2 linked regions of the Drosophila melanogaster genome follow. The protein of the gene in region 2 interacts with the protein of the main gene of each other region in a pairwise test. Each region holds a gene or a part of one and is shown on either strand. Other genes may lie near its edges. The genes, in order: CG15818 and CG5687.

Region 1 (12,290 bases), on a different chromosome or scaffold from region 2:
GATACGATAGTTGTCGATACGCCCAAAAGCAGGCGGAAGATGGAAAATAAAAAAAGAAATTTTTTGCATCCTTTATGCTTAATGCAGTGAATGCGATTTTTATTTCCTAGAGCTTAATATTTTTGGAAGTATTCCCCTTGCTGCACCCATGGCGCCAGCTGTGAAGCAACGGGAGAGAAAAATGGGAGAGCAGGACTCACTCAATGGCAGACACAGCTGAGAAGGCAGACGGGAAGGATGGAAAAAGCATGGGGCAGGAGGAAGAATCCTGCTGACTGACTGGACTAGCGCAGGGTTGAACACACACAGGCAAAAATAAACGCAGCGCTTCGCTTTTTGCATGACCAAGAACATTGGAACCTAGGTATCAAAACCAGTTTAAACTCAATTTATAACTACAATTTTTAAACGGAAGGGCCTGTTTAAAGACCCGCAATGCATGTAATTTTAATATACTACTTAGTATAGCGCAAAAAAGATTGGATAAGTATTACATGATCGTTTAGTAAGTAATCTTTTGATCTCGGCCCACTGTGCGCAGTATTTTATGCAGTTCGAGAGGAAGCCCCCTCGGCCAGCTTCTGATGCGACTTTTGGCCAGAAGAGGGCGTTTTCGGGTGGCACTTTGATTTCTTTGTGCCGCACTTCGTCTCGCTTCTTGCCCCTTCCCAATACACCGCAGCGTTATAAATCCTGGCGCAGCGAGACGGGGAAGCGGTGTTGGTGCGAGCGAAAGGGGGAGTATGGGTGAGTACGTCGAGACGACTTTATCGATCCATTCTGATTCGCAGAGTCGAGCTCTCGCTCTTGCTCGCACTTGCACACTCGCCGCTGACGCAGCAACATTGTTGTTGCATAGCCACAGGCGCTGCGAACGAACAGTAATGAGTTAAAGAATGAAAATTTACGCAAATGTGCAATAGGGGACGGCGACTTCAACTTTAACTCAAATTAGCAAGGCTCTAATTATTATTATTTCTATGCGTTTTTCTTGTTTTTTATGCAGCTACCAGAGTTTGAAAAGCAGTGAGTAATAAGCAGCGAGAGAATGAAACAAAGAGAGAGTAACCGTTACTCGCTCTTTGTGCTCGCAAAGAGGACGACGCCCTTTCATTGTGACCTGTCCTGACCTTTGTTGTCTGCCGCCAACAGTTGTTGTTTTTGTTGCTCTTCTGGTGTTGTTGTGTCTGCTAAATTTTATCCACAGTCAAGCTTCTATAAACAGACAAGCAATATCTATCAGGATTGAATTATTTCTAGAACATATTCATATCCAAATATGTTATTTTTATACTTATACGCTATAAGGTTTTTTTTTTAGATCTAAGCACTGTTTTAAGCTGCCACCGATAAATATTTAAGATTAATTCTTCAAGAACGATATTTTTCATTACCTTTATAAAATTTTATTGTCGAAGTTTACTTTATAGAATTCGCACTGTAAGTGCTTTTTGTGGGTATGTTGCTTGTGCGGGACTTGCAAAAGATAAAAGCAAACTTTAAGCGGCACGTTTCGTATATTTTTGGCAACTTGGGTAAATTTTGTTTGTGGGTTTTTAGAAAGTTTCGTTAATTAATGCAGTAGGTGGCAACCCTTGTTCGGAACCTGTAAACTTGGCCCCCTCATTTGCATTTTGCGTGGTGCATTTTGTACACCTGGACATACATAAATGGTGTATGGCCGTACCGCTCTAACACATATGTCTAGATCTGTTCGATTTTCGGGGGACCGGTGGGTTAAGTTAACCCCTGTCTGTCTGCAAGTATTCCTTCCACCTGCCATGTGCAAAATAACCAATTCCAGTTAATGATGACGAAAATGATTTGCACGCCGCCCCGCGCGGCTCCTACATACAACAAAATAATTTTCAATTGGGAAACGGTAATTTATAAAAAATATATTTAATTATGAAAGTAAAAAATATTAAGATAGTAATTTAAGATAGTTAACGGATCAATAGAGATTTTAATGTGAAACCTTCACCACTTGATAATAAGCCGAGATTACCACATAACCTCATGAAATATCATATTCTTACCAAAGACCTAAGCAATAAAACAATCGATTCGAACTCTAAAACAAAGCTCTTATTAAAAAGTAGAATTATACCAGATTTTCCTGGGATAGATTAGATCAATCAATTATTTTCCGTGCACCTCACTCGCTCTCTTCGCAAAACTTCCTCTCCCTCTCCCTCTCCCTCTCACGATCCCTCTCTCTCTCTGGTTGACCATTACTCTTTTTGCCGGCCGGCACTTGGCTTTGTGTCTGTGGGCCTTCGCGTGTGTCTGTGTAAGGTCAATGTCGTTTCGCTCGCTCTTTCGTTCGTTCATTACCGCCCAATCCCCCTGGCCAATACACCAAGCTTCCACGCCCCTGGCATTGCATGTATTGACTTTACATAGGCACAAATGCCGCCGCCTCTGCCGCCGTCGCTGTCGACGTCGATTGTGAATGTAAATGTATGACTCAAGACTCTCTTTGTCTTTTCCCCCCACCTTCCGCTCTTTTATAGCTGGGTAATTCTTTTTTCATAATTTTTTACTTAGCTACCTTTTTTTGGGTTGTGTGTGTTTTTATTGTCTAGTCTGTGGGCTTGGATTAATTTTAAACAATTTTCGTTGCAGCCGCTAAAATTACTTATGCGATATGCAGTGCACCTGTGTGTGTCTACGTTTAATTGATGCAGAAATTGCATGTTCTGCACCTGGAGAAGAAGAAGAAGTGGATGCAATGGTGGGGGAAAACTGCAATTGGAAAGCTGAGCCATAGTCTCCTTCATGTTTGGCTTTTCTCATGCAATGATGATTATATTTCACACACACCTGCACACCACACACACACACTTATGACTCAGCGAAAGAGGTCGGAGAAGGGGAACAAAGAAAGATTCAATTTGGACAGCAAATTTTAGTGGCCAATATACTTTTTCACTAACAAGCCTCATTTAAGCCCAATTTCAGTGGAATCCCAACCACTCAATCCAACGTAATTGATATCATATGATTTTCAGGGTCACTGTGTTCTTCCAGTTAAAGAATTGCGCAGAAGAGACCACAGAAGAATTCGCAGTTTGAGGTCAATTATACATTTAATCGGCTGACAAGAAAGAAACAATTATATTCGTTCCTTGTTCTTTCATATTACTATAACTAGCACCCTGAACAATATTAAATATTTCAGATAAAAAGTATTGCATTTTGAGCATTCATGGGAGAAACTTATACTTTGTTAATTGGTTTCATATTAAATCAAATATGAATTATTCAATATAGCAAGATAAAGGTCGTTGGAATCATAGTAAGACGAGTTCGATGCATTTGATTGCAGAATGGTTGTAAACTGAGGAAGAAAATCCCCATTTATTAACAATTCTTAAGTTTTGTGTAGAATCTCAAGTGTTAACTTACTGAAATCGATGAGTAATCTTCCGTAACCCTTTCGCTGATATGGCGGCAATGTTAAAATACAGGAAACATTGTAAAACGAGTTCTTCTCCTGCAGGAAAGGAATATGCTGCAAATATAGAAAAGTGTGTGAAATGATTAGAAAATAAGAAATAAAAACGAATCAGGCATGAGCAGGCGGTAATTTAAGGTTTTCACTAATCCACTTAAAAGTAAGCAAAGGTTAGCGAACATATTATTAAAATTAAATCAATTACAAAGGTTCAAGAACAATGGCAGACGTGAAAGGAGTGGGGAAACTGAAGCTTGGAGTTGGGAAAAATCCACGAAGAGAGGTATGGCGAAAAACTTCAGAGTTGGGGGATCAGACAGACATTTTCCAGACAAAAGATGAGGGGAAATGGGGTGGGGGGTGGTCCCTTGCAAGTGGCAGAGATGATGGCAACATTTATCTGTCGCTTTTGGCTTTTTTCGGCAGTTCAATGACCAGCAAAATTAAATGAATCGATAGACAGCCAGCACCAGAGACAGTCAGACAGAGATGGCTGCAGCGGCGTGAAAGAGATGGCCAAATTGGCGAGAGAACTGTGCGTAAATACATAAACATACGCACATACATACATATATAGCTGCCGCAGGAGCACAAGGACCACGAGTCTGGGGATCGGGATATATATACGCAAGACAGAATGACTCGTACATGGATATAGCCATGCCCAGCCCCCTTGTCTCACGGTCATTGCCAAAAAAACAATCCCAACACAGTGGAAAATCATTGAGATAATACCACATGTAACAATAATTTTAATAGAAAGTTTAGTCCTCATTAGAAAAATAGTTTTCAAATAATAAATGATATACGGGTAAATTATCCAAGACTTTCTTAAATTAAAGAATATCATTAGAGCAGCTAAAACTCCATTAAGTGGCCACATTTTAAGTCCTGTGTGCTGAATCTGGAATATGGCAACAATTCGGAAATTCATTTATGTACACTGCGGGTTTTTCATTTTGATTTTTCCTTTGTAGTACGCCTGCTTTTTGTTTTCTGAGGTCTGCTTTTTTTTTTTTTGCTCGTTTTTCCTTTGTCTGCCCCGATGTCTGGGAACGCAACCACATAGCAGAGGAGTCCCTGTTTCCCAATCTGATCCCCCGCCCCGCCAACACCCCGAGATCCTTCACCCCGGATTTTCCTGGCCCAGCCCGGGCAATCGCAGTTTTGTGGAGCAGGCGCAGACGCAGTATCAGAATCAGAAATTCCCGGACCCGGCCCAGAGGTGCACGACCTCAATCGTGTCCCCAGCATCCGAGCATCGGAGCAGCGTGCCCAGCCTGCCAATCCGTCTCCCTACTCCAATCCTCGGTGTCTGGCTGCTGTCTGGACCCCGTTTTGGAGTCAGAGAGTTGGAGGTTAACTGCGGGACAAAGGATTGCCGAAAATTATCACTGCCAAACGAAAAGGGGGTTGGGTTTTCACTCAAGTTTATACGCAGCCTAGTTTGCAGATGCAATGTCATGATATAGGAATATAGCTTTGATCCTAATTTACTACCATAGTTATACTAAGTTACTCTTGGAAGCGATTTCGAAATATAAAATAATACATTTTAAATGATTCAAGCGATATAATTCTTAACTTCCTTAGATATGCTTAAAAATGTTTCAATATCTCCGTTGAAATACATTCTTTAAACATTTTCATGGGCGTACATTTCGTGTCCTGGTAGTAAAGAAATTATGAATGTCCTAGCACGAGCGTAGTAAATATATGTAAACTTGTAGTATGTGTAGAAACTGCCAAATTCTGACTGCCTCGGGATGCTGCGCCAGCACAGCGAGGGTTCACAAAAGGAGCTGCAAAGAGGGGCATCATCGGGAGCAGGGGCAGTGAATCGGGAGGAGAGCAAGAGGAGCAGCTGCAGCATCAGCCAACGACATGCGCAATTTGTAACACAAACCCAGTCTCTGCCAGCGCCCAAAAACTTTCTGCATTCTGCAGTAAAACTGCAAACCGAAGGTGGGATCCCGCCAAAGCCCGTGAATGTATCGCCGGACCCGTATTTTCCGTACATTCTGGTGGGAGGTCAAGAAACCGTGGCTGCTTTTTAAAGCCAGGGGAAATGACTCTCTCGTTCGCGCCGCTTGTTTCTCTCTGTCTGTTGCTTATTTACCCGAAAACGTTGACAAAAAAATTAAATGGAAAAATCATCTGCTGTTTTTGGTGGGCATGGTCAAGGCAGAGCTCACTGTCTGCATCTGGATACAACCATATAGTCTGCTTGACGGTACATATGTATGCACCGTACATGGGCTGTGGCTGCCATTCTGGGAGTCTGGGATACCGGCTTCTACATTCCTCGCATCTCTATTCCGTCTCCAGACATAAAGGAATCATAAAACTGTAAAATGTTATTATTCAATTTTATGCTGGGGAATAACCATAAAGGTTCTGGAAAATTCTGGCGCACAATTGCAGCGCGACTATTCAAATAATAAGCAATTAGGAATCGAAATCATTAGAGCAGGATCAGATTTTCCGCTTTGGTTTCCAATTGCTTAGGAATAAAGGGAAGCATTAATTTTTGTAGTTAAGCCCTCTATTAAGCTCCTTATTAAATATTCATTTTGATACTTTAACTGCTTCAATATGTAACTCAACTTAAAATTATATTTAACTTAAAATTTATAATTCAATGAGCTGGAAAATCAAAGTGGATTTGTTATTTCAACTGCTTGATGTTTGATTAGCATATTAGCATATTCAGTTTTTAACAATTACCAAAGAAAATATACATTACGAATAAATACTTTACTTACCTTGCTAAAATAACCAACAATATGACATCCATCCACATCGGCCAGCGTCATAATGTAGAAAAGGAAGGGCTCCACATCGTAGTAGAGGGTTTTGTGATCCAGAAAGAATTTTGCTAGCAGGCACAGATGCTGACAGTATTGCTTATAACGTTTCCCGTCCACCTGCCACACCTGTAGTTTGCCCTTGCGGTATATCTCATCGCCCGGCGGATGCCGCCAGACGCATTTCTCGGCATGCCGCTTGATGCCCGTCTCTGATTTTTGGTAGCGCAGGCAGAATTCGCAGATATACATTTTGGGCAGGCGGGCAGCATCGTCCGGATAAGGGGATTGATACCAGACCTTCATCTTGTACTTGCCCATGCTGATATATCTGTCAGACGTAAGGGTTGTAAATTGATCTCCATAAGTTTGTTATATTACTACTACTTACTTTATTCCCTTTCCCACGGGCAGGTCCTTGAGTTCGTCTTCGATCCTTTCGGATGCTTGAGCTTGCGCTTCCCGGAACAATTGCAAATCATAGTCAGGCACCAGGCCTGCCAGATTTGGTTCCCGGTCCTCGTCCGTTACGTCTTTTTCCAGCTTTACCTGAAGCGTAATCAAATAGTTAGCAATAGTCTCATATGGACTTTCAAGCTAACCCACTATCCTCACCTTCGAGTCTAAAAAATTGTTATTCGCCGGCTTAAAGTTAGCCCTTGACTCGCGAATCTTGGCCAGAAACTCGCGCTGCTCAGGCGAGAGCGTCTTGAGATTGGTGTTTTGGTTACCCGGCGCCGTCACAATGTTAACCGGCATCTTTAGTCGCTGTTCATTCCTCAGTTTTCTCTCATTGGCACGCTCTTTGCACTCCGAGGCGGACATGTTGTGATAGATAGGACAGGCCTCCGGCAAAAAGTGCTTATCCAAATTGCCACTCAGATGTCCGGATGAATCGCAGCCCTCGATGGGACACTTCTTCTCAGTCTGGGTAATCGGTGACACGGGTCGGGATTTAATGGAGCTCAGCACGCCACTGCTGATTCCGATTGGTTCCCTTTTCACTTTGCTTTTGCTGGCGTTCAAATTCGAGGGCGCTGGCTTTTTGGCGGGACTTTTGGAGATCATAATTTTGTCATCTTCTAGGTCTCCATCGGATTCAGAATCGGTTTCCTGTTTGGGTTGCTGTTTTGTCCTTCGCATGCTGAGTGATCGCGTCAGTTTCCTCATGGGATTGGCCTTGTCTTTTCGCTCTTCTTCGCTGTCGGAGTTTTGGATTTTTGTTGGTCCGCTTCTCTTACCTATAATAATAAGAGTTAAATTTAAATATTATTAAAATCCTTACATAAATTCTATACTTTATACCCTGCCTACCTTTAGCTCCTCCTTTTACTGGCTGCGAGCTGTAGGAGTTGCTGGAATCACTTCCCTCAGACTCGCTTCCTGAACTTGATTCGTCGCCCGAGTTGGAGCCACTCTCGGAGCCCGAACTTCCGTCACTGCTGATCACCGGTCCCCCGCCGTTTTTCTTTGCCGGCGGCAATTTTCCTCGGATTTGTTTGGGCCTCACCGTGCTGGCCATTTTGAGGGGAACCTTCCGCCCGTTTTTAACGATCTTCATAGAGTCATCTGTGCTATTGGACGAGGAGGAGAGCGAGGGTCGCTTGCCCTCGCCGTTCTCCAGTGATCGATTTGTGTTGTTGTTGGCCGATCGCTGGGTAGGATTGCTCGGTTTGTTAGCGGGATTGCTTGGCTTGTTGACGGACGCGGGTGGTTTTCTCCTGGCTGCTGAGGCGGCAGCTGCCGCTGTTACAGTGGAACTGCCCATTGCACGTGAGTTCTTTTTGGCCGGCGGCGCCGAGTCCTCATATTCGTCGTCATCGCTGGAGAGTTTACTTTTGGGAGGATTGTTTACTTTTTTGCTAGATGGCGCTACGCTCGGCTTGGGTTTATCCTCCGACGCCGCAGGAACAGGCTTTCTTCTCTGTGCATTTCCGGAATTAGTTTGTTGTTGTGTTTGCGTCTGGGATTTGGCGGAGGAATTCGTGGATGGCTTCTCCTCCGGCGTCGCACTGCTGGAATCCGTGTCCGAGCTGCTGCCCGTTTCCGAACTGGTGGATCCGCTTGTGGATGAGCTGCCCGACTCCGAGCTGCTGCTGCCGGACTCCAAGGCCATTTTTGTAGCGCAGAATGTTTTTTTTAATATTTGTACACAAAAATGCCTGTTTTCCTGTATTGTTTTGATTAGAGTGGCCAGAGGTGGATGCCAAGCGGAACGCCATGGGAATCGGCCGGAGCTATCGGCTTATAATATGCTAGAGATGTGCAACTAGGGCACAAAAATATCGTATTCCAAAAATATTTTAGTTAGCAAATATTAATTGAAATACGAACCTACACAGTTTATTGCCTTGTTTAATAGGAGTTTTTAAAATTGATATAAGCCAGTTTTTGTGATTAAAGTCGAAAATTTCTTTATTCATTTGTTGCTTATAAAGAGTGCTTGTCGAGTACGATAAATTTAATAATCTTAACGAGGAATCAATCTTAATTTACGACGTGCGGGGAACCAAAACCAGAAAAACAAATAAAATAAATTCGATAACAGCAATCTCTTAAGCCTATTACTCATTTCAGCCAATTTATTTACGGCGCCATGTCGACTTTTTTGACAATTTGAAACGAAATAATTTCCTATCTGTGGCAATCACTTGTTGTCAAAAAAAATTGCCCTTAAACCCTCTCACAAAGAAAAATTATTGCTAAAAGCGTTATTAAATGTTCCCATCAATTTTTGCATCAAATGCAGTAAAGTGAATTATAGTATTTGTGGTTTTGTTGTAATATTCATTCATACATGTGTTGATACTTTAAAACTAAACATCACTGTCTGATTGGCAAATGAAATGCATAACGTCAGTGGTACAGGACAGAACGATCATAATGTTTTCGTGCCCAAAAACGTAGGCGCAGTGCTGGGTAGGATTATTGTATTTGGGTTCATTTTTGCGCCACTTGAAGTAGGTAGCTCGTTTGCCGGAGGCCAAGGATATAAACTCGCCCTGCTTGGCCAGATCGTTGACACCCAGCCAGTAGTTCGCCTTGTTCAATTGGCCCACTATGGCGTTGTATTCCTCGGCATTTTGGAATGCTGCGAGGTGGCCGCCCATTTCAATGCACCTCTGCTCGGCGGTCCTCCAGTTCACCTGTAAGTTGTGTTCGATGTAGAAATATCTCGATCCTATCTGTTGATATCTCTGCAGCACGAGTTTCCTTTCGATATCGGATAGAGTCTTCTGGATGGCTGTCAACTGGTTTTCCGTCCTCTTCTGTCCATCTTTCAACTGATTACTCAGCGCTGTCTGATTGCCTTCGATATCCTTTAGTTTTTGCTCAAGGTCCTCGGTTTTGATTGCCTTCGAAATGTTGTTCACAAGGAATGCTTGCTGGGCTTCTATTTGGATTTGTGTCGCCGTCAACTGGTCTTCGATCTTATCCAGTTTCGCGACGCTTCCATTAAGTTTCACCTCGCAGGCTCCCCAGTCCTGTTGCTCCTTCGAAAGGTGATCGATGACCGGCTGCAGTGCGGATACGCAATATTCACTGCACTGATTGGGAGGATCTGATAATAGACACACATAGCGCCTGCCCTCCTGGGCTTCTATCAGGGATCCGTAAGGATACAGCAATAGAAATGCGCACAAAATAATTCTCGTAGAGCTAAACATTTTGGACAACCACTGAGGTTGAAGCTTGATAAAGAACTGATACTGAAGTAATTGGCTCTCTTTTTAAAGGCCCGGCAATATGGTTGATAAGCATATTTGATCTTCTTATTAAAATTGTCACAAGAAATTTGATGTGGTATCATAAGTTATCATTATTTGTAAAGCGTTGTCAATATGGTATGGTAGTAAAGTAGATATGTACTTCAACTTAATGACATACTTCATTTCTGAAATCAGCGCTAAAGTCGATATCCTCCACTATTAGATCACTCAGCTAGCGGGAGTGCGTATATATAAAGAATTTAACAAATTAAATAATAAAATCAAAATATATTGGGCGTGTCCATCTTCTGAAACAAACTTGCGTTGCGTTTATAGGATCTGCACGCTCGATCTTATCTTTATAGCTTTTATGGTAACCAAAATCACAAACGGAAATGGCCAGATCAACTAATGATCCGAAATGAGAATTCCATTTACCTGTTGCATATTCATCAACGAATGAGGTATACTTTTTTTCTCTACGAGTAACGGCTGTAATGTTAGATAATCATCACTTGATTAATTAATGTCAACTTGTTTGCTCTTCCAGGAATTTCTTTTTTGTGCCCACTTTCACCGGTTTATTGAACTTAACTGCTCTGGAGGTTTCCAATTAAATTATCTGGTTAATTGTAGATTTTATCTACGCCCCTATGTTGAAATAATCGAAAGCTAGCACAGTCAGAAGAATGATATATGTAGAAATTTAAAATGATTCACATCTGCCGGAAATGATAAAGCTTTTTTATCTAGGGTGGTTCCCTAATTTAGTGACCACAATTAAATTTGTTGCTTGTGTGTTAGTTTTTGAATTACTTATAGGGTTTCTAATCACGAACTAACAAAATTGATAAAGTAATGTTTGCTTGTAAATATAAAGTTATCCTTCCGTTGAAATAGAATCTATTCAACATTCGCTGTACTTATTATGAGATGATTGATCAAGAAAAAAAATTAATATTTTTAATTTACTAAACGATAAATAAAATAAATGTATATATAACAATTCAAATTAGATGGTAAGAAATAAAATTTAAAAAAAAATTGGATGAAACAACTGGAATAATCAGTTCCAAAGCAAACTAAAGTATTTTTGGTTGTCTTAGGTGAGGTCACACTAAAGCCGTTTCAACGTCTGGCAACGCTGCACTACGCCAAAACAAAACAAATCATTTTTGTACTTTTTAAAAACTCTTGCTCATTCTGCAATGTATAACGTGGAATGCATTCCTATTAAGGACATAAAGCCGGGTCTGAAGAACATCAATGTTATCTTTATTGTCCTGGAAGTGGGCGTGGCCACCGTTACAAAAGAAAACCGCGAAGTGAGGAACTTCAAGGTGGGTCCATCGTTGCATTATTCACATAAAAACAAATAATATAGTGAAAACAATGTTTATAAGGTGGGCGATCCTACGGCCTGCATCAATGTTTCGATTTGGGACGAGCCGGGCAAACTGATAGCACCCGGTGATATTGTCAGACTGACAAAGGGCTACGCCTCCATCTGGAGGCATTGTCTGACCCTTTATTCCGGAAAGAACGGCGAGGTGTTCAAGATCGGCGAGTACTGCATGGTCTTCAACGAGAGCGTCAATATGAGTGAACCGAAACGGGCGGAGCAGCAGGCGGTGGCAAATCCTGCTGCTACTCCGGCGGGACTTCCGGCCGGTGGTGGTGCTCCTGGCTTGCCCGCTAAGGGTGGTGCCACGGGCATTCCACAGCCCGCGGTGGCTGCTGCACCAGGTGCTCCCGCCACCCAGAGCGCCGTGACCACAGCTCCTGCTGCGGCGCCAGCAATCGCACCCCAAACGACAACGAAACCTGGCACCCGTGGCGGCCGTGGAGGTGGAGGACGAGGTGGCCTTAAGGGGGAACGGCGTTAAATGGTCTACAGACGCGGGATAGCACTTAGCGATCAAGAATTAAACCTCTACAGTAATGCATAGCTTAATAAGACATGTTTACACATCCCAAATGATCGGACCTGGATTTGGTATGTTATCTAGACTATTTGGGCTTTAAAATTTACGTAATAGGTCTGCATTTATGAGTATCAGTTAACCATTCAATTATATATGTATTTTAAAACTTAATTGCATCTTTTAAAAGCAAAAAGTGAGCATGTTTTCGTCGAACTATTTAAGCATTAAAAAAGATATTGAATATAGTACTATTTTTCAAAATAAGGAAATCAGATTACTAAAAACGAAATTTAAAGTTAATCTAGCCTAAATGTAGTAAAGCTTTTAAGATGCAGATAGAAAAGAAACTTAAAGAAAAGCACCCAAATCGTAAGTTTAAAAAAGATTG
Region 2 (12,290 bases):
TTTTGAATGCAGGTCACGTTCCGAGTGTTATCAACTAATGGATTGATCTGTGTGTAGAATGCATTATTAGCTGGCAGGTCTGGTGCCAAATATCTGGGAACTATCTACTTTTCGTGAGCAGTGCCGTCGAAAATAGATAGTTATTTGCATTTGAATAGTTATTACTCAGTCATGCTGGCTATATTTAATGTCTAAAAAGAGAAATATGAAAGCTTTGAAAACCGCATATGCATATTATCTCAACCCTTCGCATTCAGCAGATACATACATACATGTATCTGCATTGAACAATATAACTGAGGATTCATGAACTCAATATAATCCCATGGCGCACACTTCTTCAATCAGTCACGCCCCCTTCGAAGGCGAACTGCAAGTGACAGTTACCAGCCTCATAATCCGCTGGCTATAAATTTAATTGCCATTAATGGCACTCGAAGACAGAAAGGCGCTGGGAAATGGGAAAAGGGAAAATGGGAAAGGGGAAAGCTGAAAGTTGGCCGCAGGCGGCTGCCAAAATCACGCGGCGGAAATGAAAACATCTTGAGGCCAAATGCGATTTGCATTTTTAAATCAATAAGGACTCAAAGACTCGGGACTTGGAGTATATATATTCATATGTGTGTGTGTGTGTGTGTGTGTGGAGACTTCAACCCCCGCACACACGTGTCTGGCCTGCTGCCCTCTCTTTCGCACAGAGCAACTTTTTAAGTGTCGTGTCCAAAACAAATTCGTCTGTTTTTGATTTGTCGAAAAATGGGGGAGCGAAAAAAAAGGAAGCGCGCAGCTCGAATAAAGGAAATTCCCGCCAACGCCCGGCAATCAACTGTGGAATTTCCACCCATTTCCCCCCTCCAATATCTCTCTTTCACTCCCCTGGCATTTTCACGTTATAAATATTTTTATTTTCCATTTCGTCTGGATTGTCTTTTGTGTACTTTGCCCGGATTCACGGGGGGAATTCCCACAGCATTCGCTTGTCTGCCTCTATTTGGCTTGCAATTTCGATTTCTTTCGCGGTGGCGACAGAAGCCAGCGGCTTTAAATCAAATTGCACAATAAATAATCCCCGAATTCGAATCGAGGGTATTTAACAACCGATATGCGTTGGTCTTTTACGCTGTTTGCCTCGGTTTTATGGTCCTTGTAATCCTTGAATTTAGTTTAGTGGTTTATGATCAAAAGAATTAGATGAGATTTGAGATAAAAAGTTGAACAAACTTTAATTTGATTAGCATTGGAAAAAATAATAGCATATCCATTTTTGCTGCTTCGACTTTTCGAATTAAAGAACACTTAAGCGCTCATAACTCGCATTTCATTTCAATTCGCCAATTTGCAACCCTCGTCGAACATTAAAAACCATCATTCGCAGCTTTGGTTACAAAATAAATTGTTGACAAATTGCTAAATAAACGGTCGTGGTCCACAGGCCAAAGTATTTGGCAAGCACTTGGCCAGCTCCTCCTGAAACAATAACCACAAAAAGGGGAGGAAATGGGCAATGGAAATGGACCGTGGTCAGTAACCCAAAACGCACTGCCAACTGCCGCCGGAATGACTTTCGCAAATAGTAGCAGACTATTTAATACGCTATTACGCAGCATATCGAATGACATCCTCGGTGGCCAAATGGGTTGACAGCCTGCTCCTGGCTGGAATATATATTCTATATATATATATATGTATATGGACCATCCCCGTCATCCAGCCTCATTAGTTAACATATGTTGCCGAAGTCAGGATTCGGGATTCGGGATACGGGACTCGAGACTCCCCCACAAAAACAACAGCTTGTGCTCATTGCCCAAAGTCAATTTTCGGCACAAAAAAAAAAAAAGAAGTGTAGCGAGGGGAGGTAGGAAAGTTCGGCGGAAGGGAGCAATTTGTAGCCCTCTTACCGCCCGACTCCTTTGGGTGGTTTATAAAAACTTCAAACGAATTCCATGCGCGTTATGCTGGCAGCGTGTCAGAAAAATATGTTACTTATCGTTTTGGCTTACTGTCAATGGAATGGGCCCAACTTCCTTGGGGAGAGAATTGTATTGAGAGGTCGGGTCTTAACAAAGTGGCAAAACGTTTAGCAGGACTTCGAAATGAGATGGGTGCTTAAGAACTTTATTTGGGATGAAGTCCAGAAGTTACTCCAGGGAGTATGAATCCGGAGTCTCCAGGATTTTGAGAACACAAATAATACAACATATATAATTTTAACTGCATTCTAATTTGCAACATTCCATTCAACTTCTGATTCACAAAATTGTTTTAAATTTATACTGCTAACACGCTAAATCAACCAGCTATTAAAATGATGACATGACAATAATATCCTATCTTATTCCAAAACAATTTAATACAATATACTACATACAACAAACCAGCGAATCTATGCGAATCCGCTAATTGCTATTCACAACAATTGAATTTTAGTATTTGTCGCCTGGCACAGATATTTGCATAAATTTAATTATTATATGAGCGGCGAAAAATGAAGCGAATATTTTTGTGTTAGACAGTAATTGCGGGCTTAAAGTTAGTGGATGTGGTAAGGGGGGGGGGAGGGGAACTCGTTACATGGCCAATATTTGTTAACAAGCCGGACTAACATCGCAAAACTAAACGCGGCTCATTTGGGGGTCTATCGAGTGCAGTTGATAATTCTATAATATCCGAAACGGATTCTTTATCAGGGATTTTCTGCAATGCAAACCTGGAGCGCTACCAGCTCATCGAGGAACAACAACTGAACAAGGAGCGGAAATGTCCAGACGCCTCTCCTTGGCACACTAAACTGCACGCTTTATAATTAATTTCCATCAGAAACAGACGATGACAAGATGATGACGGTGGTCCAGGGTGGTCCCAAAGTTCTATTCCTCCCTCATTAAACTACTGACTTTCGGCCGGAGCCATAATCATTAATCTTATCGCCGCCTGAGCTTATTATTTCAATTGCTGCCGGGGTGGTGGAAAATGGGAAAATCTGGCTTTCCACCGCACAGACGTTGAAAAACTCGATGACCGGAAGTAAGCGAAACAGCAAACCGAGAAGCCAACAGAGCGCCCAAAATCAGGCACGTGCCACTGGGAGTTGGGTGTTTCCAAGGAATCTCTGCGGTTAATCGGTTGTTCAACATGTCAGCGGCTTTTCATGGCCGTTGTTTACTTATTTATTTATAAATGCCAGAGCTTTAGTCTAATTGAGGGGGCTCCCACCCATTTTACGCATCAATTTGCTTTAAAATTCACATCAAGTCACAATCTAATTACCGCCGTGGAGTGGGTCTCCCATAAATTGTTGCAAATTGTTGTGCCTGGCTACAAAGTGCGAATGTCCTGCTGTGTCGCAGACTCACAAGGAGGCGGGTGACGGAGTGGGGGGGGGGGGGGCCGGACTGCACAATAACTCAAATACAGCTCATGGAGGAGCGGTGGGCCAAGGACTCTGCCCGGCGAGTCCTGCAATCTGCTTCAAGTGTCCCAGCTAGCCTGTCAAATGCAGGAAGCTAAGCCCTCCACCGAAGGATAGCAGGAAGTGAGTTACCAGGACTTACAGCATTTTTGCTGGACCAACTTTGCAGCCTGCACTGTGGATGGAGTATACATAAATAAATAAATATCAAATGTAGATTATGTTAGGGCACTTCAAGTATTGGGATTTCAAAAGGGTGATGTATATGATGTGATATAAAAGTATGCATAAAATTATTTATTTCTCATCAAGATAGTTTAAATATATTTAAGAGAAGAACGGATTGTTGACTGAAACCAACTGATTTTGCACCACTGTGCGGCCTCTAATCAATTTGTAGCCGCTTTGGGTAAATGTCTCTTATTTGCATTTATTATGGATATGCCCGTCGTCTGGCGATGGCAGTGCAGTTCAAACTTCTGGCCGGTCCATGGCCACGCCCCCACACACGACCCGCCCCAATGGGGTGGTGACGGACAGATATCTATGGGTTCTCTGCGAGATTCAATTTGCCACAGAAAAGTTTTCGTCGGATAGCCGACAGAAGTTTGTTTTCCCAAAAGCGGAATTCGATACCCACACCACTCATACGACTCGACGGCCATGAAAAGTTCCAGATCTATAGTCATCCCAGCTCTGCTGCTCCAGACAGCTTTCCATCCACCGGACAGTCGCAATTTACCCATTTCAATGCAACTCCAGCGTGTTTTTCTCAAACCCATTTATGCCCTTCATTTGCAGGTGAAAATTTGGTTTCAAAACCGGCGCATGAAGTGGCGGAACTCCAAGGAGCGGGAGCTCCTCGCCAGCGGCGGTTCCCGCGACCAAACGCTGCCCAACAAGAATAACCCAAATCCTGATTTGAGCGATGCCAAATGCGATCGTCCGCTGACGCCACTCTCGCCATCCCTGCTCTCGCCCAATGGGAGTGCCACGCCCCCACCGCCGGGAGCGGTGGCCAAGGATGAACCGCCAACGGCAGCTGTCACGCCCAAGTCACCGCAATCCGTCAGCAGCCGGAGCTCCCCCTCCGTGGGCTATGGCCTCCAGATTAGCTCGCCGCCTCCGCTCCTCACTAGCCTCAAAATGGGCGATCAATCGGCGTCGGCCACGCCCACTCCGCTGCCGGGCACAACGGTGTCATCCGCCGCCGCCTCGCCGCCCGGTGTAACTGCCTCCGAGTTTCAGGCCAAGATCAATGCCGAGATGCAGAAGCAGCTGGTGGCCGCCGATCTGAAATTCAAGCTGGAGAACAGTATCCAAGAGGCCAAGCAGCGCCGGTTCGAGCAACTGCAGCAGCAGCTGCATCACTCCCCACACTTCAGTGCCATGCGGGAGGTAGAGCTGGCCGCCGCAGCCGCGGCTGCGCAACTGCATCATCATCACCAGCAGCAGCAGCAACAGCAACAGCAGCAGCACGCACAGCAGCAGCATGCGCAGCAGCAGCACCAAGGTGGCTCCGAGTTCATGAAACTCTACTACGATGACTACGACGACTCCAACTCGGACAGTGACGAGGAGATCAGCGTGACGTGATTTGCGACTGGAGGCGAAGATGGAGCTGCAACGGTCCGTGTACATATATGTTTTAATTGTAAATTTATTGATGCATTCAACTTATTGTATTTAATATGTGTATGATATTTTTTCGAATTTAAATTCCAAAACGAAATAAACTCCTTTGAAAATCATAATGCCAATACTAATGCAAAGATCACTTGACATTTCAGCAATCAACGCTGATTAGGAATATATATGTATATATAGGTTTTATTAGGTGTCTTAAAACGAACTAAACATAAAATCATTTCGTAGTAACATTAGTAAGTGTGTGTACAGAATACTGAGCCAACAACCTCGGCTGGGACTTAAGAACTAGAAATCACTCTTTCGACTAAACTAGGACAGTTAACAGATTGCGACTGGTCTTTGTACATGGAGGTTACATGGAGGTTACACAAGGAATTGGCCGGTGGGGAGCGTCGATCCCCGCCAGAGTTCGAGTTTTGGCTTCGAGTTCTATTCGTCGTCAATGCGAATGGCATGGTTCACATGGCCCTCGTCACTTGTGAGCTCTCGCGGATCGCCAATCACCGTCGTGGTGGTGTACTGCACCTGGGAGTCGCTCTTGAAGATCTCCTCCGACACGGCGGGATTGTCGATGTCCTTGCCGGTGATCTTCAGCACATTGCGTCGCTGGATAAAGTCAATGATCAGCGAAATGAACCAGCCCAGGAAAACGGTGAGTAGGCAGCCGATCATGCTGTACCACATGTAGCTCAGCCGGAAAATGGGCCAAGATCTGTAATTTCTGGGTTAAGTAAAATATATATATCTAGTACCTAAGATGTTATCTTACGTGAATCCCCCCTCCTCAATGACTTCCAAAGGTTCTGTTAGCAAGCTGCCAATGATGTTCGTCATGTTCACATGGCAGTCGCATTTGTCGATGGATGTGGGCAATGCGGGCTGCTCCACGCTCACAATTTGGGCAACCACGCCCACAAATATGACCAGGGCCAGGGACAAGAGTCCTCCGTAGAAGGCGCCCTTGGTATTGGCCTGTTTGCAGGCGATTCCCAGCACGAAGAGACCGAGGGTGACACCACCAATCAGTCCATTGAGGGTAAGCGTGGCCTGCAGAACTCCTCCCAGGTGCTCCACGATGAAGACCAAGCCGAAGGAGGCAATGCCAAAGCCCAGGGACATCCACTTGGCATAGGTGGCTCCCTTCTCCGGAGAGATTTTGATGTTCATGCCATTGACCAGCAGATCTTCGCAGGTCACAGCGGACAGGGAGTTCAAGGCAGAGGCCACGGTGCTGTTTTTGAGAAGGAAAAACTTTGAATAAGACTTCCATAAGCTGTTCTGGAGTTTAAGAGCTCACCCCAAACTGGCAGCAAAGATGCCAGCCACAAAGATTCCCGCCACGGAGCTAATATGCTCGTAGGTATTAATCACGTAGTAGGGCAACAACTGATCCGTGGCTGAAATGCGTCCAGCAGTCAAGGGATCGCAGTCCGCATAGTGGGTGAAGACCATCAGACCCGTGTAGAAGTTCAGCAGGAAGACCACAATTAAGCCGATAATGGCAAAGCCCAGAGCAATCTTGGCTAGCCTCAAGGACTTCAAGGACATGCATTTCTGAACGGACGCCTGGTTGGTGCAGAACAGCGAGGTCCAGTAGAAAAAGCCACCAATGACCACCGACCAGACGGTGTGACGTGTTGTGGGATCGGGATCCATGCTGCAGAATTAACCAGAATTGTTAAGGTCCTTGGATTCATTTGGCTTAACTCACTTGAAGAACTCCAAGCGATTGTGATCGGAAGCAGTCTGAAAGACCTGGATGGGATTGCCACTGTAGAAGCAGCCCAAGCCCACGATCAGTACCAAGGATACAGCCAGGACAGCAGCCTAAAAGGATTTAGATATATCTTCTCGTATTGATGAGTTCCACCATCTCGTTACTCACCTGGAAGGAGTCGGCAATGACTACAGCCTTCATGCCTCCCTGTGAGGAGTAGAAAACGCAGACCACATAGATCAGGACCACGGCGATTTTGGTGTCCAGTCCCGTGGCCTTAGACAGAGCAATTGCCGGTGCCAGGACTGCCACAGCCGTGTAGAAGCACATCTGAAGGAGAAGGAGTCTATATATAAATCTCATTCATTTTCGAGTTAAATCCCAGAACCCACCTGAATGACATAGAGCACTGCACCCAGAATCCTGATCTCCTTGCCAAACCGAATGCCCAGATACTCATAGCAGCTGGTGAGCTCCATTTTAAAGTAAATGGGATAGAAGATCTTCACAGCAACCGGAATGACAATCACCATGGGTATTACGATGAGCACAAACTGGGTGCCCTGGAAGTACATCTCGGATGGATTTCCCAGCAGTTCGATGGCCGTGATGAAGCTGGTCGTGAGACTGAGTGTCACCGGGAAGATGCTCATCTCGGAGCCCAGCAGGAACTCGTTGGACGAGCTGCCGCCCTTCTGGAAGAAGCCATAGAAGATGCCGATGCCCAGCGAGATGACCAGCATGCCCAGCAGAATCACGTAGTCGTAGCCCGAGAAGGTGGCCTTGTGACTGGGCGCACTGCATTCCTCCAGCTCCGCGGATGCGGGAATCTGTTGATTCTTGAAGGCTCTCAGGAGCAGGGTGGCGGCATTATCGAACTCCACATGCTCCTGGGATTCACTGGGCGACTCACCGCGCACTATCAAGTACTTGTGGCTGGAATCCAAGGGAGCAGATCCTCCTGGAGTCGGAGACCGTTCCTGCAGGGCCAATGCGGTTATAGAATGTGCCAGGGCGCACAGGGTCAGCAACTTCAGAATGGTGTCCTGGGTGGCGAACATCCTGGATCACGAGCAAGGACTAAGGATGGGGATCGAAGGATGGCGATTTCCGGGAGATCACTTTCTCCAGCCGACTTTCCACCCGGCGACGTGTGCGCAAACTGAAACGAGATCGGATCGGAAGCGATTTAGACTTGGATCACTGGCAAGATCAAGGTTCGCAAAGAGGAATTGCAACGAGGCGGCATTACAAAGCACCATCGCACCGTGGGTGTCACACTTGGTGTCATCTTGGGGCCCATTAATTAATTAACCAAACGATCTGGATCTGCGGCTCTGGATCCGGAGGAGGGGAGGCCATCGACCATTGGCCAGCGTCTCATGTTCAAGTACAAATACATTATTTCCTTATACAAACAATTCCATTTGAGCGTAATTGCTTTATGATTAATATGTTTTCTTCATGGGGCGGCAGTCAAGGCAACGCTCTTCTTTTTTTTTTTTTTTGGGTGATATTTCTTTTTCGGATTGTGGATTTCGGATTCCCAGATCCAGAGTTATGGCTCTTTTGGGGTTACAAGTGGACGGGCGATGAGCAAGAAGGCCCAGCAGAAAGCTGCCTCAAACTGGTCGTTGATTTATTCAAACTGGTTATTTCTGGCCAAAAGAAATCGCACGGCTTGCAAGTGGTAAGGAATTTGTTAAGATATTTGATTTTATTTCACGCCAATTCTAGGATGTATTTCATTGCATAATGCTACTCGATGTGTAACAAACTTTTTTAATATATTTCAATTTCCTTGCTGATTTATGCAATTACTTGTCGTTTTAATTGTCAAGTATTTGAATTCATTACACAAGCCTTATCTTTTGAGTAACTTAAATTTATTACACATGCCTCCTCCGTCTCCTCTTAATTGTTAAATCATAAAACACACATTCTGCAACTGATCAACGATGGCAATCACTTCCCCCATTCAATTGATCCCCAACACTCGACAATTATTCTTGATGAGACCAGAAGCCATGGCGCCTCCTCACTCCTCCTGGCGCCTCTACTGCCCCCGCCCACTTTTCCGGCCAATCAAACCATTTGAGAAAAGCTGCTCCTGTGCGACATGGACATGTATGCACCATATGGCCTGAATGGCGAATAGATTGGGCTACAATGTTTGAGCGAAAATGGGGAGTGCGAGCGCGCCAATCGAGATTTAAGCGAATTCAACTGGTTTAGATCGGTGGCCATTGGACTGAGCCGGATTGCGCCGGTTTGGGCCAGAAATTCGCCATCGCTCGGCGAATCTTCGAAGAGCAGCTTCCAAGTCTCCGAAGGCAAGGCCGGAAACTAAGAGCAAAAGGCCCGACCACAAGAGAGATGTCCAGATGCACAGAGAGAAAATACCAGTAAGGAATGGTCTAGGCTCCTTCTAGTTTCTAGCTCATCGTAGAATATTTTATTCAAGTTTACAAACTTCTGATTTGAGTAATCTAAACTACGAAATCATATTTATTGCTCATTTGTTTGTTGGCTATTTGTGTTTGGGGTGAAACCCGTTTTCCTTGGTGGAGGAACACACGGGTCAAATGAATTGTGGGCTCTGGTTGAGGACAGGCGTCTGGCTTAATTGGTGGACTTTCGCCCAGCCCATTCCAAAGGCCCTTCGCTTCCATTAAATGGCATCATCATCGTCTTCGAGCCCAATTAATATGCGTGTTTTGTTTTGCTTTCCTCGGCTTTTTTTTTATCTCGTCTGGGCGAACTCGCTTCTATTCTATTATAATTAATTTAAACAAAATAGTCCGCTTGACAAGTTGGCAGAAGATACCAATCGCAAGCAAGGAGATTTTCCACGGCCACGACAGCTGCAAACATTACCTAGTTCAAAACTGGCGAGATTAGCCAGCTAAAAAACAGAGTGAAGTAACACAAGCGACAAAATATTAAAATGCCTTCGGAATGGGTATAAATACTTTCAGCTTTATTAGCTTGTTCGACAAATGCATTTTACAAATTGTTTTTGCCCTCGCAACTTTTTACTCTAGTTTTAGTTAGTCATGAGTAATTGGAATAAATTTCCTTTGGGCTAATGCTTTTTACTATTCTGATGTTCTGAGATATTTTGCAACTACCAATTATCAGTGACAATCGGTATGATAAATTTCGAAATAACTCACTGGCATGCATTGCCGCTTTCACTGAAAAACTGAACAACTTCTCACCTTGGTTAGTAATTTTTCAATTCGTCAAATTCGATATCCTTCGGTTGTCGTCTTCGTTTAGCTCTCAAATGGAATTAGGTTTGCTGCACTGTATCTTAGAAATGTTCTGAACTGGATTTGCAATATTGTGCCACGATTGTTTCTGTATTTCATTAACGTGTTTTCTTAGTTAGTCACAAAATGAAACTGATCACTGTTTGGATTTGGTTCCTCGAGCCGAGTCCTTGCCGTAGTTTTTTTTTCACTTCGAGCACTAGTTGTTTCCCTTTTTTCCCAGCTCGTCGTCGATCGCTGTTCGAACGTATTGACAATTTTTAAATGAATGAGTTTTGCAAGCGGCCGTTACGCTATTTTATACAACACCCAAGGCGGCGCAGGCAAATCACAGATCTCGGATCTCAGGCCTCGGATCTCAGATCTCGGGCTCCCAGCTTCAGCTTCGGGAACCCCACCACATCGAGATCTCTTTGGGGTCTGAAAAGCGAAGAAGAGAGAAAATCGATCTAAGAGCAGGCGAAGCGTCGCCGGATATGATATCGCCGATCTCCACGGAGAGGGAAACTCGATCGCCAGCCAATGGTCGTGTGGAGTGCTAAGATATAGGCAACTTATTTTCAACAGACTCTGGGCACTAAGCCTATTTTAAAAAATAAAACCAAAGACATTATGGTTCATACTATAAATGAAACAGATATTAAATATTAAATGTTTATTAATGTAATATTATATAACTTTAAATTAAAAGGTTAGTAGATTGAGAAAATGATAGGAAACTTATAATCAGGTAGGTATGTAGGTATTAAGTAAATGTATATAAAAATATGATGGGTATAAGTAAAATAAGCTTGAGGAAACGTTTAATTGAAAATCGTGTATAAATGTTTGCCAAACCGTTTCCTAAATTGCTATCAATTAATTTCAGGGAATTGAAACGCTCTGATTCATATGCGAAGATTCATTTTCAATTCTGCAGAAGACGCTCCACGAATGGCCGGAAAATATCCGGTATTTTCCAACTCCTTTGCATATCCCTCGATGGCGATTGTTAATTGTGGCAAGTTGAGCCAAGTGAAATGCGCTGTAAACAAACATAAAAGTTTAATTGCTGGTTCTTGGCCAGTTTGGGATTGCGTGATGTGTAAATATTTCCATTTGTCTCACCCTTTATTACTTTTTAAGTAACTCGAGTCACAAAGGCAAAAAGTGCGCCAATTAATAATGGAAACGATTATATCTTTCGTTTTTTGTACACTTGTCGCCTCGCCTCAATTGCTGGCTATGTGGTGTTTTACTTGGATAACGATAACGAGTTCGATCTGGTACGATTTTGATCAGGAATGACACTCTTTCTCCCGCTAATAGAAAATTATTTGTTTACAATTCCTGTGCGCCAGTGTGGGTGTTTAATTCTAATTGAAATGTATTCCCAGTTTGAATTTAAATTTGAACTGAAACGGCGCCGGTCAGTTCAAAAAGAGTTCAAATCGCAATAAATTGATAAATGTAAAATGTATGTACATATCTAGTATGTAGTGGCAAAAAGAAAGGGGGTCTCCAAATATTCAGCAGGTACTTCCCCCCAAGCGGAAAGTCACCAAATCGACGCCCATTTTTCTAAAGGTCAGTGAGTTAGCTAGGCAGATATGCACTTAAGCATGAAGCGTGTTGCATTAATTAAATATGCCCGCCATGTCGTTAACTAACAGTCTCATGTAAATCTTGGCCATTCAACTACCTCAGCCGACGAAAAGCAGTTAAAAGCAGTTCGGCAAATGCGTCTCGGTGTTTAGGCCCGAAACGATCCCATCCCATGCCATTCCAATTCCATTCCATTCCAAATCCCCATCCCCATCCATATCCAAAGCAAATCCAGCTAACTCTGTTCCTCGGATGCAAGTGGCCGAAGACGTCACAAAACTGGTCGAGCCCCTCGTCCGCCAAGTGGTTCTTTCGGACTTTGGTCCGGTTGGGTGGGTATCAAATCACATCACATCAGATCCGAACGGTTTTTCAAACATTACAAGACAATCTTCACACGTGCTGGCTGCGTGCTGTCGAAACTGAAAATACGCAATACCAATAAAAAGAATTTTGGATTCGATTCCGGCATTACACAAGATCAAGCACCCCTCCTCCGTCCTCCCTCTATCCATCGTATGGGAATTGGAGAAAGCGTAGTAGTCAATTAATTTACTAATGAGAGTGGGCGTTGACATTGCTAAAACACTTGTTTATAAAAACAGCACAGAAAAGAACATTTTCCTTTTCACCAAGGAACCCAATATATATG

What was found.
Region 1: the proteins of CG5687 (region 2) and CG15818 interact in a two-hybrid assay, tested with the Drosophila melanogaster proteins (one large-scale study listed by BioGRID).

What each region holds. Positions count from the first base shown.
Region 1 is NT_033779.5:7,408,600-7,420,889, reverse strand, and holds CG15818 (uncharacterized protein), read right to left. Parts: upstream 9,982-12,290; 5' UTR 9,936-9,981; coding exon 9,084-9,935; 3' UTR 8,661-9,083; downstream 1-8,660. Other genes in the region: chm (chameau), read right to left, coding at 3,412-3,517, 6,226-6,598, 6,659-6,816, 6,883-7,508, 7,582-8,383; CG5181 (uncharacterized protein), read left to right, coding at 11,186-11,317, 11,381-11,863.
Region 2 is NT_037436.4:1,928,441-1,940,730, forward strand, and holds CG5687 (uncharacterized protein), read right to left. Parts: upstream 10,664-12,290; 5' UTR 10,154-10,663; coding exon of another isoform or gene 10,058-10,153; 5' UTR 10,001-10,057; intron 7,942-10,000; 5' UTR 7,841-7,941; coding exon 7,172-7,840; intron 7,110-7,171; coding exon 6,948-7,109; intron 6,890-6,947; coding exon 6,774-6,889; intron 6,720-6,773; coding exon 6,360-6,719; intron 6,294-6,359; coding exon 5,832-6,293; intron 5,775-5,831; coding exon 5,492-5,774; 3' UTR 5,193-5,491; downstream 1-5,192. Other genes in the region: Dbx, read left to right, coding at 4,214-5,008; CG46523 (uncharacterized protein), read right to left, coding at 10,058-10,153.